Oreochromis niloticus: one gene and its partner. The protein of the gene in region 1 interacts with the protein of each later gene in a biochemical or structural test. Links are inferred from orthologs where the notes say so. Each region holds a gene or a part of one and is shown in the gene's direction. Other genes may lie near its edges.

Region 1 (7,406 bases):
ATGAATAAAGCAGCTTTTTTTTCTCAGACAAAATTAATTTCCAAACCTGTCAGAAGAATAAACTGCAACAACATAAACACTCAAAATTCTAGTTCAGCGCGTTGGATCCTTCCATCTCTCAGGATTTCATCTTCCTCATTCTACTCCTGTGGTCCAATAGATAAACTGTCACCTTGTTTGACAGATGAAGGCCGGCGGTAAACACAGGTTCTTTTTCTAACATGACAAGAGGAAAGTATTGCATCTACAATGCCTTGGATACAGTCAACATAAAACATATCGAATGGCATTCCTCGCTGCATTCCTCTCAATATCAAAAGGTGCGTGTTTGAGGATAGCCTTACTGCGTTTACGCCTGTGTTTGCGCCCTGACCCACTGGGGCCAGTGCAATAACTTTGGACTGCCTCCCACTGCATCTCGTTGCAATGGCCACTCTCAGTTTTTATTTAGCTAGGTTGTGTGCCTTCCCAGTCCGGCCGCTTTTCAGATTCATTTCCAGGTAAACACAGTGTGGCCAGCCACAAACCTGCAGCCAACAGGCGTTGTCACAGCTGTGGCAGATAATGGCAGGTCCAAACTCCAGCCCGGCTCTGGAATGTTTACTGTCACCACAGGCAAGTTGGCCGCAAACATTTTTTTTTCCAGCACTTTCCAAGAGGAAGACTCTCTTGTTATTAATTTTATTTTGATGAATTACATGCTTAACCCTTTGCCCTGTGCTGTTTTGTGTGGCTCGGTGTACTCAGGAGGGTAGAAAGGCACAAAAAGGTGCATTCTTCAGCAGAGCTTTTAATTTCAGTTGAGAAAAAAATCCTTACTTTGAAAGTTGGAACTTAAAGCTAGCACATAACTGCCAACAGCTCCTGGGTGTTTGAAGGAATGTTCCACCTTCCTCTCACCGAGCAGAGATCTATCCGTTTCCATCCCCCTGCCCTGCACCCAAGAAAACTTCCTGGTGTCATTTTGGGGCCACGTGTGTGCTTTGCTTTCACCTCTTTAACTCAGTCATTACATTTTCACCACTTAGTGGATTCCCTTATCATAACCAATAAAGGAATGACACCTAAATGTGTGAAATGTAACACCCATCATCCTAAAGGCTAATTAATCCAGAGTGTGGCAAATCTAACTGGAGGAGAAAGAGGGCTACACTGCTGGTTCAGGTGCCACAAGGAAATTTTCAATGGAAATATATAAATTTTATAATAACACACTGAGCTGTGTTCTGACTCAATCTCATGAGAACAAGTCAATGCAGTCCTGGCCTCATTTTCAGTGCATGCGGGATTGTGAAAGCTTCAGCTGGGAACAGAAAAACTGCCAAGAAACGTGGCAGCGGTTTGTACATATTGCAGCAATGACCATCAGGCCATTAGATTCCCTGCTCAGTGTGTTGAAGTGAACTATTGAAGTGCGTATTTTAAAGCTGGTGTCAATGGAATAAACCAGAGGTTAAATAGAAAGGGACACACTGCCTGTATTTGACCCAAAGGTTTACCTGGTCTGAACCTCAATCATAAGCAAAATGATTTACAACATTACTTTAATTTGACTGTGAAACATCAAAAAGACTCTGAAATCTTTGGATAAAGATTTTCGTTTTATATTGCTACTTTTTTTTAGTCCAGTTTTACATAATTACGGTAGAAGAATGGATACTTGGCATATTTTTTTATTCACTAACAGACCAGCTTACAAGTATATACATGCACGTGTAATTAACCTTCTGAATTTAAGCCGAGTGTAACGCAATGCAAGATTTTCAGTCTTTGGTGATTCAATCATCTTTTCTGTACCAACCATAAAGAGGCAGTGATTAACTACTCTGGCTTTTAAAATTCGGGAGGGACTTGTTCTGATTCTGTGGAACATTTAAACTGTGTTTTGGAGCTCACATTTCTGAAATTCTCCACATTTTGTCACTTTGCTGACACTTTTTCTTTACTTGTTTTTTTTTTGTTCCGTTTCCAAAAACTGAAGTCAGGCCCCATATATCAAATTTACCGTGTGATTTCTTTGGTTATCTCTTTCCACTGACAAAGTCAGAGGGGGTCATAAATAAAAATGTTACAATTGTACAGAGTGTGAGATAGAGTCAGAGTGATATGTAGTGTCTGCTGTGGAGAGGAGGTAACATTTTTTTGTGAAAAGGCCAGTTATTGTTCTGGAGTGAGGATGCAAACACTACACCAAAGAATAATAAAGAAAAACAAAATACGCTGAATAGAAATTACATCTGCATAAAGCCCTGCACCAGTTTTTTGTTTTTCCAAAATGTGACCTTCACTCATGTGAGAGGACTCTGGAAAGTTGATGATTAACCATGGATTTAGCTTCATGTCTCATTCAGGAACATAATGTTACACAGGTCAAGGACCCTTTTAAAATGCTCACGGTTTTTAGTTTCTGTAATTTTAAAATAAGCACATCATGAAATAATATTTTTAACTCATATATATTGGATTTAGCGGTACCAGAACCATTCCAGGTCCTTTTTGAACCCGTTTTCATACTTTTTAAAAGAAAATATGCAACATTTTTCACATTCAGCGTGACCACATCGTTGCGTAACACACACAAACATACTGGCTGGCCATGCAAGCATTCACGATCGGATTTTTTTTAGCACATTTATGCAACAGAAATGCGTCAGAATATTTGTAAAACCTTTTTAAAATTATATTTTAAAATCTATGAAAAATGTCTTCTTTGAAATCCAGTTACTCCATAATGAGCTCACACCAAAAATATTCAACGCGCCTAATCTTCCGCCCTTAACACTTTATAAAGGCTCTATTATACACAAATATTAGATGACTGTTTGTTTTAAGCGTTTTGTGATTTTGCAGCGACTGTCCCTTTCAAAAATAACATTTCACAAAACTTATTGTTGTTGACTCAGTCGAGCCGGGAGAGCGCAGATTTGACCATCTCCAGCTTTCTCCATTTCCACCTCTCCGCCGGTGCAATCCCAAATCCTCAAACACACAGAGCTTTTTCTCATGATCTCATTTCCAAGTTAAGCAGACTGTGTTAGTCCCTCGTCAACACGACAGGTTTACTCGCCTTTACTAATGGGGCTCTATACTGATAGTTATGCTCTTGCGTAAATATGCAGTCAAATAGATGTACAACTACTGACACGTGGCTGGCATCGCTCTGCAGCCTCACCTTGATGTTTGTGTCATACAAATACTGTACGGGTTGCGAAAATGAGAGGCCCTCAACACGCAGGCCCGCACGTCTGATGAAAAACAGGAGTTTCGTGCTTTAAAAGGTCTCCCAACAAACAAAATCAGAAAAGCTGTCTGCCTATACAACCACGCGAACTCTCGAATGACCTATTTAAATATCAGAATGTGGGCTGTAACGTCATCACTTCCGTGTTTTTCTTGATTTCGGTTATTTTTCATCTCTTTTTTTGAGTCAACCTAAAGAAAAAGCGCCCAACTTTCGTTGATTTTAAAATATTTCACGGGCGTTTGAGTTCAAAGAATGACTTTATGTGCCACAGACAGTAGAGCCAGTCGGAGGTGGCATCCGAGAGAGGGCGCTCTGAAGCTGTGCCTGGCGTATTCGACACTAATTAAAACATTTAGAAACAGTAATTCAGTCTCCCAGGTTAAGAAATCAGGTTAAACTGTGCCTTTGTGCAAATATCACCTACATTAGTTGGGAAAGAGGTAAGGACTTTAGTACTGACAAAATGTAAACTTTAGCTTGTAGGAAGTTTTGATATTGTTTAAAATGACCAATTGTATCAAACAAGCTGCGGTCATTTACACGGATCTCGCTGCTTTTTCTGTGGACTAAGCAAAGCTGAAAGAGAAATCCTCTTCAGGTGAACATCAGAAAGGTTTAAAAACTGTGTCTTATCATTTATGTAAGACATAAACATGTGTTCTTGGATTTATATAGCAACAAAGCTATGGCAGAATAATATTTAATCCTGTATCAGTTAATGGTTTAATCTGCCTTAAATACTCCTCTGTGGAGATTTTTGCTGAAACGAGATTTTACTTCATTTCTAAACGTTTTCGTGTTCTTTGGTGTTCTCGGTGTAAAATAGTTAAAATTTATATGTAGGCTTAGGCAATAAATTCCTTGAATGCAACGCAATAAAATGGATTATGATTTGAGCTCAGCTGAAGTGGAATAAGCACTTTGGAGGATGTGCGTAATGAAAAGCGCACCAAGGAAGAGCGCCAAACATTCCTTTTATAGTTCTCCCCCCCTTTTTCTGCCCCAACCAAAATACAATAAGATTAGTTTATAATGAAGCTTTTCATATGAAACTGTTCTTTTCAGTTAGCGCAGGTGTACAATTGGGGTGGGGGGATGCTCGAGGAGTCTCACGCCTAGGTGCGAGGAGATTATTCAAATAGGGCCCAAGGCGTAGAAGTAGGGATTGGAGGCTTGCCTAGAGCACAGAGCTATATCACAGCGTTAACAAGCAGCACGGAGCGTCATTTGAACTCCAGTCACTGACAGACGCATTTCACGGCTGGCTCCATAAGACACACATGCTCCAGTCTTCGACGAAGGGACACACCGACGACCTAAATACACTCAGTGGTCCCCAGTTACCTGCTATTAGAGAGACTTTTGGCTTTCCCTCTGCTGGGAGACGCTTTGTAAAAGTCCTCCATGATGCTTGGAGCAGTTAAAATGGAAGGACACGAACACACCGACTGGAGCACCTACTACGGAGAGCCCGAGGTGGGTACCTTAAATATATATTTTTTTCTGTCTAAAGCCGATCCCATTTTATACAACTCAATATTAGCCCTGAGATAATATTAACTTTGTGATCAAATATTGACTTGAGGCGCCTCCAAATCCTCCCCCATCTCCACGCAGCGCACTATCCTAACAAAGTTGCTTGACATGTAGGGGAAGAAACTTTTCGCTCGGATTATAATTTCATAAGTCTCTACGTGTTTCTACTAAATCGGGTTATTGTTGGTCAGGTTTCCACCCAATAAACACGTGTGCCGTTTGATTTCGGGCAGATTTTTCAGTGGACACACGCACACCGAGTACGATTTTCATCTAGGTTGCACATTTTAAGAGGAATAGTCACCTCAATTTTATTTATTTATTTATGTTTTGTTGTAATAGTGGCGTTAAATATATTGTTAAATATACACACCCCTGTTTTTCATTTCTAGGAAATACTTCGCGCGAGAGCAAACGCTTACAATGCCACTTCACACTTACGAAACCGGGAAGCTTTAAAATATTCAGTATTATTTATGGAGATGAATAAGGCGATTTTTATCAGGCTCAAATGATAACGATTCGCCGTGTTTAGAAATCACTGTGCCGCTTTATTCCTCGCTGCAATGCCAGATGAAACTCACGAATGCCTCTTTCCCTCACTGACAGTGTTACACCTCGGTTGGCAACATGAACGCGGGCCTGGGAATGAACTCTATGAATACCTACATGAGCATGTCCGGCATGAGCACCACTGCCAACATGACGGCCAACTCCATGAATATGTCATACGTCAACACGGGCATGAGCCCCTCCATGACCGGCATGTCACCGGGAACCGGAGCCATGAACGGCATGGGCGCAGGGATGACGGCAATGAGCGCAGCCCTGAGCCCCAGCATGAGTCCCATGACCGCACAGCCCGCGTCTATGAACGCCCTCACGTCGTACTCAAACATGAACGCCATGAGCCCGATATACGGACAGTCTAACATCAACAGGTCCAGAGACCCAAAGACCTACCGCAGGAGCTACACGCACGCCAAACCCCCGTACTCCTACATTTCTCTCATCACCATGGCCATCCAGCAGTCCCCGAGCAAGATGCTGACACTAGCCGAGATCTACCAGTGGATAATGGACCTCTTCCCGTTTTACCGACAGAACCAGCAGCGCTGGCAGAACTCCATTCGCCACTCTTTGTCTTTCAATGACTGTTTCGTCAAAGTGCCCAGGTCGCCGGATAAACCGGGGAAAGGCTCGTTTTGGACTCTGCACCCGGACTCCGGGAACATGTTCGAGAACGGCTGCTACCTGAGGAGGCAGAAACGCTTTAAGTGCGACAAGAAGATGAAGGAACCGGGCCGCAAGTCAGGGGACGGCGGCTCCTCCAACAGCAGCTCAGAGAGCTGCAACGGCAACGAGTCCCCGCTCTCCAACTCCTCCTCCAGCGACCACAAAAGGTCCCTGTCGGACATGAAGACGAGCCAGGCCCTGAGCCCGGAGCACACCGCTGCTAGCCCGGTGACGCAGGGGCAGCACCTCATGTCTCAGCATCACTCGGTTCTTGCGCACGAAGCCCACCTGAAGCCGGAGCACCACTACTCCTTCAACCACCCTTTCTCCATAAATAACCTCATGTCCTCGGAGCAGCAGCATCACAAAATGGACTTAAAGACTTACGAGCAGGTGATGCATTACTCCGGCTATGGCTCCCCCATGGCGGGACCTCTTTCCATGGGCTCCATGGCGGGGAAAGCCGGTCTGGATTCTTCATCCATACCTGACACAACTTACTACCAAGGTGTCTATTCCAGACCAATCATGAACTCCTCGTAAACTCTTTTATCCCCTCATGTAATGTGGACTTTCTTCCCATTCACTTTGTACATTTGTAAAAGAAAAAAGTATAGACTTTGTGTACAATATGTATTTCAGATATTTTTGACGTTTCCCACAGTTTTAGTTGTCGAGTTTGTTAGTAGCCTAATTATTTTGAGAGGATGCTGATATTAATGATTAAAAAACACTGATAATGTGACGGAAATCTGCTCAGAAGTTGGTTTCAGGACTGGACCCAAAGACAACCAACAACAACTTGCTGTAAAATAGCCTGCGTCCGCATAACTGGACTCGTAAATGACTCGAAATGCCTCGCTGGATTTGTTCAATCATTTGTGTAATTCCTATTTATGGCTTGTATATGTGTATTCTTGTAGTGACAAGAACAGAATCTATATTAAAGTGTTATTGGTTTTGTTTTCTGAATGTCACGGTGTTGGACCATTTATTATTATTATTATTATTATTATTATTATTATTATTATTATTATAGGAAAAATTAGATTTTATCCAAAAAACGAACTTCAAACGGAGAATTTGCAGGAGAAAGATACAACTTGAGGCGGCATTAATTTAGTCCAGTTTTGGTTTATATTATCATAACAAAAACGAATCCATTCATCCATGTTTGGGATCATAAAATACGTTTCTCACGATGTATTTATTTATTTAATTCAAATTCTGGAATTTATTCTTACCCACGTAAGGCGCACAGTCAGCTTGGATTAATAGCTTTGCTGGATAAAACCGGGAACAATGCTCCCAATTTGTCATTCAGGAAATGTAAACAACACACATATATGCTCATTAATCCCAACCACAAATTCAAATATTTATATGAAAA
Region 2 (7,212 bases), on another chromosome or scaffold:
ACACTGCTTTTCTGGATTTCATATTTAAACCAGCACTAAAAATGCTTCACGTGACAAATAATAACTACCTACCCTAACTAGTCTGTATTTTTATATCCTCCGCATATATCGCATAGGAGTACTACAAATATGGCACATTTTGGACTACAGAAAACTACTACTGAGTTAACATTCCTTCAACAAAAACAAAACTACCTAATATTTACCTTATAATTTTCAAAAAGTGACACGGGAATGTAATCACGAACTGAGCTGGTGATTTAATTGATGGTTTCCTGTTTTCCACCGCGGTCGTATTTTCTGAAGGGAAGGAATACAATTCATGTGCCTTATTTTGAATCGGGTAAAGGCGAATGTTTTAGTTAACTGCCTTTGATAAAATAATTACTGAGTTTCTTCTTCGCCCCCCCATCCCCCCACCCCCTTATAATTAACATGGATTTTAATCCGCCTGCTAGGGGTGAGGATTTAACTATAGACGCAAATATTTGTTTAGTTTTGCATGTAACCTACCTCAGATTCCTCACTCGCTCACTATACCGTCAGCGATTGTGCCGTAGGCTACTGTGAAGATGTAGCTTTACAGATTAGGCTTATAAATACATGTACCGTTACCCAGCTGGCAATATCCATCATTTTATAATCGGAGAAATATTCCAGTACAGTGGACAAACGCTGCTGGCTTTCAATAAAAAGTCTGCTAGGCCTGTAAGTAGTCTGTCCTGTAAATGAAGTGAACGCGCAATCATTTAATAAAAATGCTTTTACCCTCTCTATTTGGTTTCATTCCATATTTACCGTGTTTATTAAAATATCCATGCAAGAAAATGATTGTAATCGCGCCCTGGGTCGAGTAATATTGTGTTCACAGTTACCATTAAGTGACCTTCAGTGTGACCAGTATTGGGTTGCATGTAATGAGACATGTTACAGTCCATAATGGGGGTTAGGTAAACAGTGAAGTTGGGGAATGTGAGCTATGAGGATGCGAGATGGGACAGGCTGCAGATGAAGGGAAATTACTGTTGAACTCTGCTTTCCCTCCTCGCTGGGTAAGATGGCGCCTGACGCTGACCTGCCCTCCTCCCTCCCTCCTTTTTCTGTCTCTCTCTCTCCCCCCGTCCCTCTCCCTCCAGCTCTGGGCCATAAATCCGTTGTTGTTTATGAAAATTTACAACATAGCCATACAAGTTTACGACGCGGCCCGGGTTCCCATTGGCCGCAGCTTGTCACGTGGCTGGGAGCCATGAACATGAACTTTTTTTTCTCCTTTTTTATATTTAATTTTCAATTGCGGGCTAGAGGAGCCTTTCATTTAACGGTCTCGGGCTTCCACGGGAACCTTTTCACAGGCGACCTTCGTCATTTTACCATGTCTCACATGTACTTTTGGGGATTTTTTCTAAGGGGTGAGGGGTGAGATGTTAGGCAGAACCTCGACGAGCAAGGAGCTTACAGTAAGACATGCCTGGATCACTTGGGTGCCTTGGCGGGCTCCTGAAAGGTAACGGAAAGATGAGACGAAGGAACCGACCCCCATGGAGAACCAAGCTTCCGTAAGGGGTCTCAGCCGGGAGACTTTTCCCCGTCACTGCACCTGCCCACTCCCTCCAGTCACCCCCCTGTGTTTACATACAGAGACCTTCACAAGGTAAGGCAGCTTACGCTCGTCAGCCGGTGCATGTGGTTGACAATGTACTTGTTTGCATCTTCTTAAAGCAAGCAACTTACTTTATGGTTTCGCCAGCTTTGATTTTTGTTAGAGATTGAAATCCTGGAAAGGAATGGTTTCGTGTTACAGTTGATCTTTATCAGGATTCCCATCACTGATGCTTCGTGTTAAATCTGATTTATCAGATTTACAAGCTCTTATTTGATGATGATGATTATTATTAATAATATTTTAACATTTAACATTCATTTTTGCAGTGAGCTTAGTGTTGTAGGCTGTCTGGATTGTATTTGTTGGTGGATTTAAATGGGGATGTGCTTTCGGGTGGATGGATGATGGGCAAAGTATGCGCTCTTTGACGCCCTCCTGTGGAGGGAGTGGGGCTATTGTGCTTGCAGCTCTGCGTGTTTTTCTTTTCTTTTTTTTGCTGCAAATGAGAGAGGTCGACATCTGTGCATCCACGTGTTTTATTCTATGTGCCTTGTATGTGTGCATGTAGGCCTCAGCGTGATGTGCATGGGGTTAATAAACAGGATGACAACCACTAAACATTATTACACTTAAAAATGCATTTTAAAATGATCAGATATTTTAATTGTGAAATGTTTCTTTCAGTCTCTGTCCATAGATGCTGTTGTTCCCGGTGTTGCCGAACGTAAAATCATAACATTCATGTTGCTAGACTGTAATTAATATTTAATAAAATGCATCGATGCAAAAAAACATGCAATGTATCCCCCAATCAGTCTTAACAGGGTGATTTAAATGCATCAATTGCAGTGATAAATTTCCCTGTTCTATATGTCATTTCTGCATAAAGAGTATGATTTTTTTTGCTTGAACGACCGTAATTTCTTGGGGTAACACGTGGATTATAGGCCACGAACAAGAAAGTGACTTTAAATGTTTGCTCAGAAGCTACTACGAGTGTGTGAGTGTGCCTGCAAAGTCGGAGAGCACCGCCCCCCTTCCTTCACCAGTGACCATCGTACCCCCTTCACCCCTCTCTCAACCCGACAAGTCAGACACCAGCGCGCTCTCACTCTGCTCTCCTTTCTTTTCGATGCCTGTGTTTTAGTTCCTGGGTGTGTCCCTGGCTCAACTCAGAGAAGTAATTTTCGTGGGAACTTTGTTGCCATTGGCCAACCATAAATCAGCTGTTGTAGCTCGACTGTTTAGCCAACACAAACTCCGCGCATAGCTTTCCTCTCATTGTGGGCCAACACTGGGTGTGTAGGAGCCCGGTATTCACCCTTCCTAAAGTCGCGCCTTCTGGGAGTGTGTTAACGCACTCTCTCTCTCACACACACATACCTGAGACTGAATAAATCCATCCCACTGTTCCTGTCAGTCTTAACACAGGAATGGGCTTGTGCTGGGTAAATGCTCTGCTCCGGGGAAACGGCATGTGGAGGAAACCTTAGGACAAGTCACTGCCTTCGAGAGGCGAATGTGCCATAAAAATTCCACAGGGAGTAAAACAAACGGGAAGCGCCGGACTGCGCCATGCCTGTTTCACTTCTTTTAAAATTTGTGATTTCCTTCATGAATTAATTTGAAAGAAAGTCTAAAGCTGACGAACCGTTTTCAAATGGTGAATCGGTCGGGTTACAGCGTTAAACGAAGCTGGGCCAAGTGTGCTGAGGTTTATTGAGCAATGATACATGACTGCTGCAAGGAATAGCTTCTAACATATCTAAAAATAACATTATTATTTATTATCAATAATATTTTCGACGGTTTCAGTGATCGATTGCACAGCTGTGTTGAGAAATTGTTTTGGGAATTTTTTTTTAATGATCACAGTGGCAAAAATGAGGAGAAAATCTCAAGATCGCCTTTTCTCTGTCATCGTAAATACGTATGTGCTTTTTGTATTAACCCCTGGGAATATAAATATGCTGTTCAGCTTTCACCACACTCGCAAAATAATGTTAAAGTTTGATTGAGTATTCTACATTTCGGGGACTTAAAAAGCATCAACTTCACTTCTAAGCAGCAAATCCTTTCACCGTGTCATTTTTGCAATAAAGTCTATTTTTTCCACCCCTCCACTAATTCCATTAAATTCAAAAGTCATACTTAGCAAAGCCCCGGGCTTTGTAGTTTCTCAGGTTATAAAAAGAAGAAATAATCAATCTTTAGCTTATATGTAAACAAATAAAAACACGAGAAACTGCAGCTTGGCATGATTGACTGTTTAAAGGTCAATATAGCAGAGGAGTCGCCGTTAAATAAGAGCAAAATAACATCGGGTTTGGCGCAAAAGGCTTGTAATAGCTATCATCTGAGCATCTGTTCCATGGAGGGCCATAGTTATATATTTTAACCTGCTTATAAACGACATTCGTGTGTTCATATAAAGCCCATATTTATAGTTATTAATTTTTCAAAGTGGCGTAAAAAAGCAGGCCTCGGATAGCACTTTCTGTGGCTTTATTCGATAAAGTGATGTTTAGCTTTTATTCTTCCCCCAAACATTTATTCATTAGTCTTTTTTTTTTTTTTTTTTTTTTTTGCTCTTGAAGTCGTTCAGATATTTCATGATAAGGCTATATCATATGAGAGAAAACGCAGCTCTGTTGCGAATGGGCTTTTATTCTATTAAGTGCGCAGACTGTTTACACTCATAGCCCATCATAACATGCATAACGGATTCTGATCGAATTATTTCTGTACACTATCACCGCCGAGATTGCACTCTCAGCATGTCACTTGTTGTATTGTTCAGGAGCCTTTTTTCTTTTTCTTCTTCTTTTTTTTTTTTTTGCCGCAATGGTCGTTAACCTCCGAATGACCCCGTGTGCAGCCCACGTCTCGGAAAGCGCCGCAGACACGCAGTGCAACTGTTGAACCAGAGGATGGCGCACCACGACAATCCAAAACACCCAAAGCCCCGGCTCAGAGTTTGCCCTAGCCACGAGCGCAGGGAAAGCGCGCACCCCTTATATCCCACCCAGTATTTCCTGCGTGCACGAGTTTACCTCTGGAGGTCACCGAGCAGGATTTACGACTGGTCAACAAAAGCACGTGATTCTTCGCCATACCCCATATTTGGGTGCCTACGTAAGAGAGAATCAAGTCCATGTCCCACTCATTTCCATAATTCATCATAAATTGTGCAAGGGTGCTATAGGACGCGCTAAAGCATAAGAGCCACAAATCAAGAACACAGGTTATGCTATTTTACCTCTAAAAATAACCATCAAAAACAAGAGCAATACCTACAACAAGCAAACGGTGGAACTGTCAACAAATGAGCTCCTATTTTGTGAACTCATTCTGCGGTCGCTATCCCAATGGCGCGGACTTCCAGTTACATAATTATGGAGACCACAGTACGGCAAACGAGCAATATAGAGACTCAACAGCCATGCATTCCAGCAGGTATGGCTACGGCTACAACGGGATGGACCTAACAGTCGGTCGGACCAGTACCGGACACTTTGTGGGAAGCGAGCGGACACCGGGCTACTCCCCGAGTCACTCAGCGGCGACAACACCCGCGGTGGAGCCTGTCAGGTACAACCAGTCCGCAAGCAGCACCGGGAACTCGTCTCTATCGCCTCCACCTGACTCTCTACCGTGCTCCTCGGTCGCCAGCTCGTCCCCAGTGACCGAGACACAGTCTCAGCACAGAGCTGTGAAAAACTCCATAACGACCCCGTGCTCAACCCCGTGCTCAAACTCGAACGGAGCCACGCTGCTGCTCAGCCGGGACTGTGTGTCCAAAGCTTCCCCTCTGGAGGAAGAGAAGCCCGCGGGAAGTGCACCGACAACTCCTCAAAATGTAACCGACTCAACACAGCCTCAGATATACCCGTGGATGAGAAAACTACACATAAGTCACGGTAAACTGCTTTGTTTAATGACTTCGTACTGATTTTGATCTTTTGTAAAAAACAAAAAGCTGTTGTCTGACTGTTTGTTTAAAAAAAAAGAAAGAGAGAAAAGGGACGTGGGATCATCTTATTTAGGACATTTTATGAGCACAAGCCAAATTTTGGCCATTCTGGCGTTAAAGTGATAGAAAGAGCACAAATAAACGTAGTTTTGGAAAAGGGGCATGTGGCGCTATGTGCACCTCTCACCTGTTTGGTTTATATTTGGTTAGCAAGACTATCAGGTACGGGATAGTGTAGCAACAGATGCGAGGTTAGACTAGTTAAATGTATTTGACCTTTTTCTACACTTGATATTTACAAAATGTGCGTTTTAAAATGGTTTTAAATAAAAAGAGGATACTTAAAATATTTTTTGCTATTAACCCCCTTTCTATGGACTCAGTAGTAAAAGTGTGTGGTACCTTGTTACTTGTAAGTTTTAACCATTCAAGCTCTACAAGGTGCCAGTCGTGTGGCAGCGATTAAGACATTCATACCTATAATATTACCAAACACAAGATTGTAAAATTGAAAGAAACGTCTTCAAGAAAGTTGGCGCAAAAGTAAAATTATTATTTAATTCTTCTGCGTCTGATCTGTTTTCTCTTTTTTGTGTGTACAAGATTTGTCTGGGCCAGAGGGGAAGCGGGCCAGAACTGCATACACTCGGTACCAGACCCTCGAGCTGGAGAAGGAGTTCCACTTCAACCGGTACCTGACCCGCAGGCGGAGGATCGAGATAGCCCATGCCCTCTGCCTCTCAGAGAGACAGATCAAAATCTGGTTTCAGAACCGAAGGATGAAGTGGAAGAAGGACAACAAACTAAAAAGCATGAGCATGGCGGCTGCAGGCGGAGGAGCCTATAGGCCCTGATTTTTACACCTTTTAATCCTGAAAAAAGAGCACTTCAAAATAAAAAAAGCAAAACAAAGATTGTCATATCAACTTCTCCTCCTATTCCAAAAAAGCGCAGAGACTTAGCGGGCTGTGTGAGAGAAGGGACAGAGGGGAGGGTCAGCCTATCTATAAACCTTCTGTATGTCCAACAACAGTCCCTTGTATTCCTTAATATAATTTCATTTTTATCCCTACCGTGGTTATGCTTATGTGAGTAAAATGCATTATGTACAGTTCTGTCTAGATTTAGAAGATGAAAAAAGAGACATGAAAATAAATGTTTGCTTAAATTATTTCTTGTTCAGACGGGAAAAAAAACGTTAAATAAATAAAAGCTTGAAATGCTACCCGCCTAGCGCAAATAAATCCATATTTTCTGTGTGATGCACTCAACAATAACAGCTTAATAAGTAGAAGGTTGAGGTTGAGCTACATTTGTGTTTGACCTTTCTTTTCTCTGTATGTACTGTATATGTATGTATTTATTTGTTTGGTGTATTGTACCGAGTTGTCAGATAACTTGCTTCCAAAAGTAGAACCAGCAGTAAAAGCCTTGTGTGGTTATTGTATGTGTTGTGAACACACGTGGACAAAGGTGCCGACTCACCCTTGTATGTACAGTAGCTGTGCCTTGTATCTTTTTTTTTTTTTTTTTTTTTTTTTTTTTTTTGCAGGAGCTGCTTTTATTCTCTTTCTTTCCTTATTATTTTATTATTATATATATTTTTTTCTTTTTGCGTTCTTCACCTGGACGCAAC

What was found.
Region 2: the proteins of foxa2 (region 1) and hoxa5a form a complex in vitro, tested with the Homo sapiens proteins (2 studies listed by BioGRID). The link is inferred for Oreochromis niloticus from reciprocal best matches to the Homo sapiens genes FOXA2 and HOXA5.

Annotation. Positions count from the first base shown.
Region 1 is NC_031983.2:28,013,279-28,020,684, reverse strand, and holds foxa2 (forkhead box protein A2), read left to right. Parts: upstream 1-4,305; 5' UTR 4,306-4,648; coding exon 4,649-4,720; intron 4,721-5,389; coding exon 5,390-6,559; 3' UTR 6,560-6,988; downstream 6,989-7,406. UniProt on the Homo sapiens protein: Transcription factor that is involved in embryonic development, establishment of tissue-specific gene expression and regulation of gene expression in differentiated tissues.
Region 2 is NC_031985.2:25,349,474-25,356,685, reverse strand, and holds the start of hoxa5a (homeobox protein Hox-A5a), read left to right. Parts: upstream 1-4,202; 5' UTR 4,203-4,928; coding exon 4,929-5,523; intron 5,524-6,179; coding exon 6,180-6,430; 3' UTR 6,431-7,212. UniProt on the Homo sapiens protein: Sequence-specific transcription factor which is part of a developmental regulatory system that provides cells with specific positional identities on the anterior-posterior axis. Also binds to its own promoter.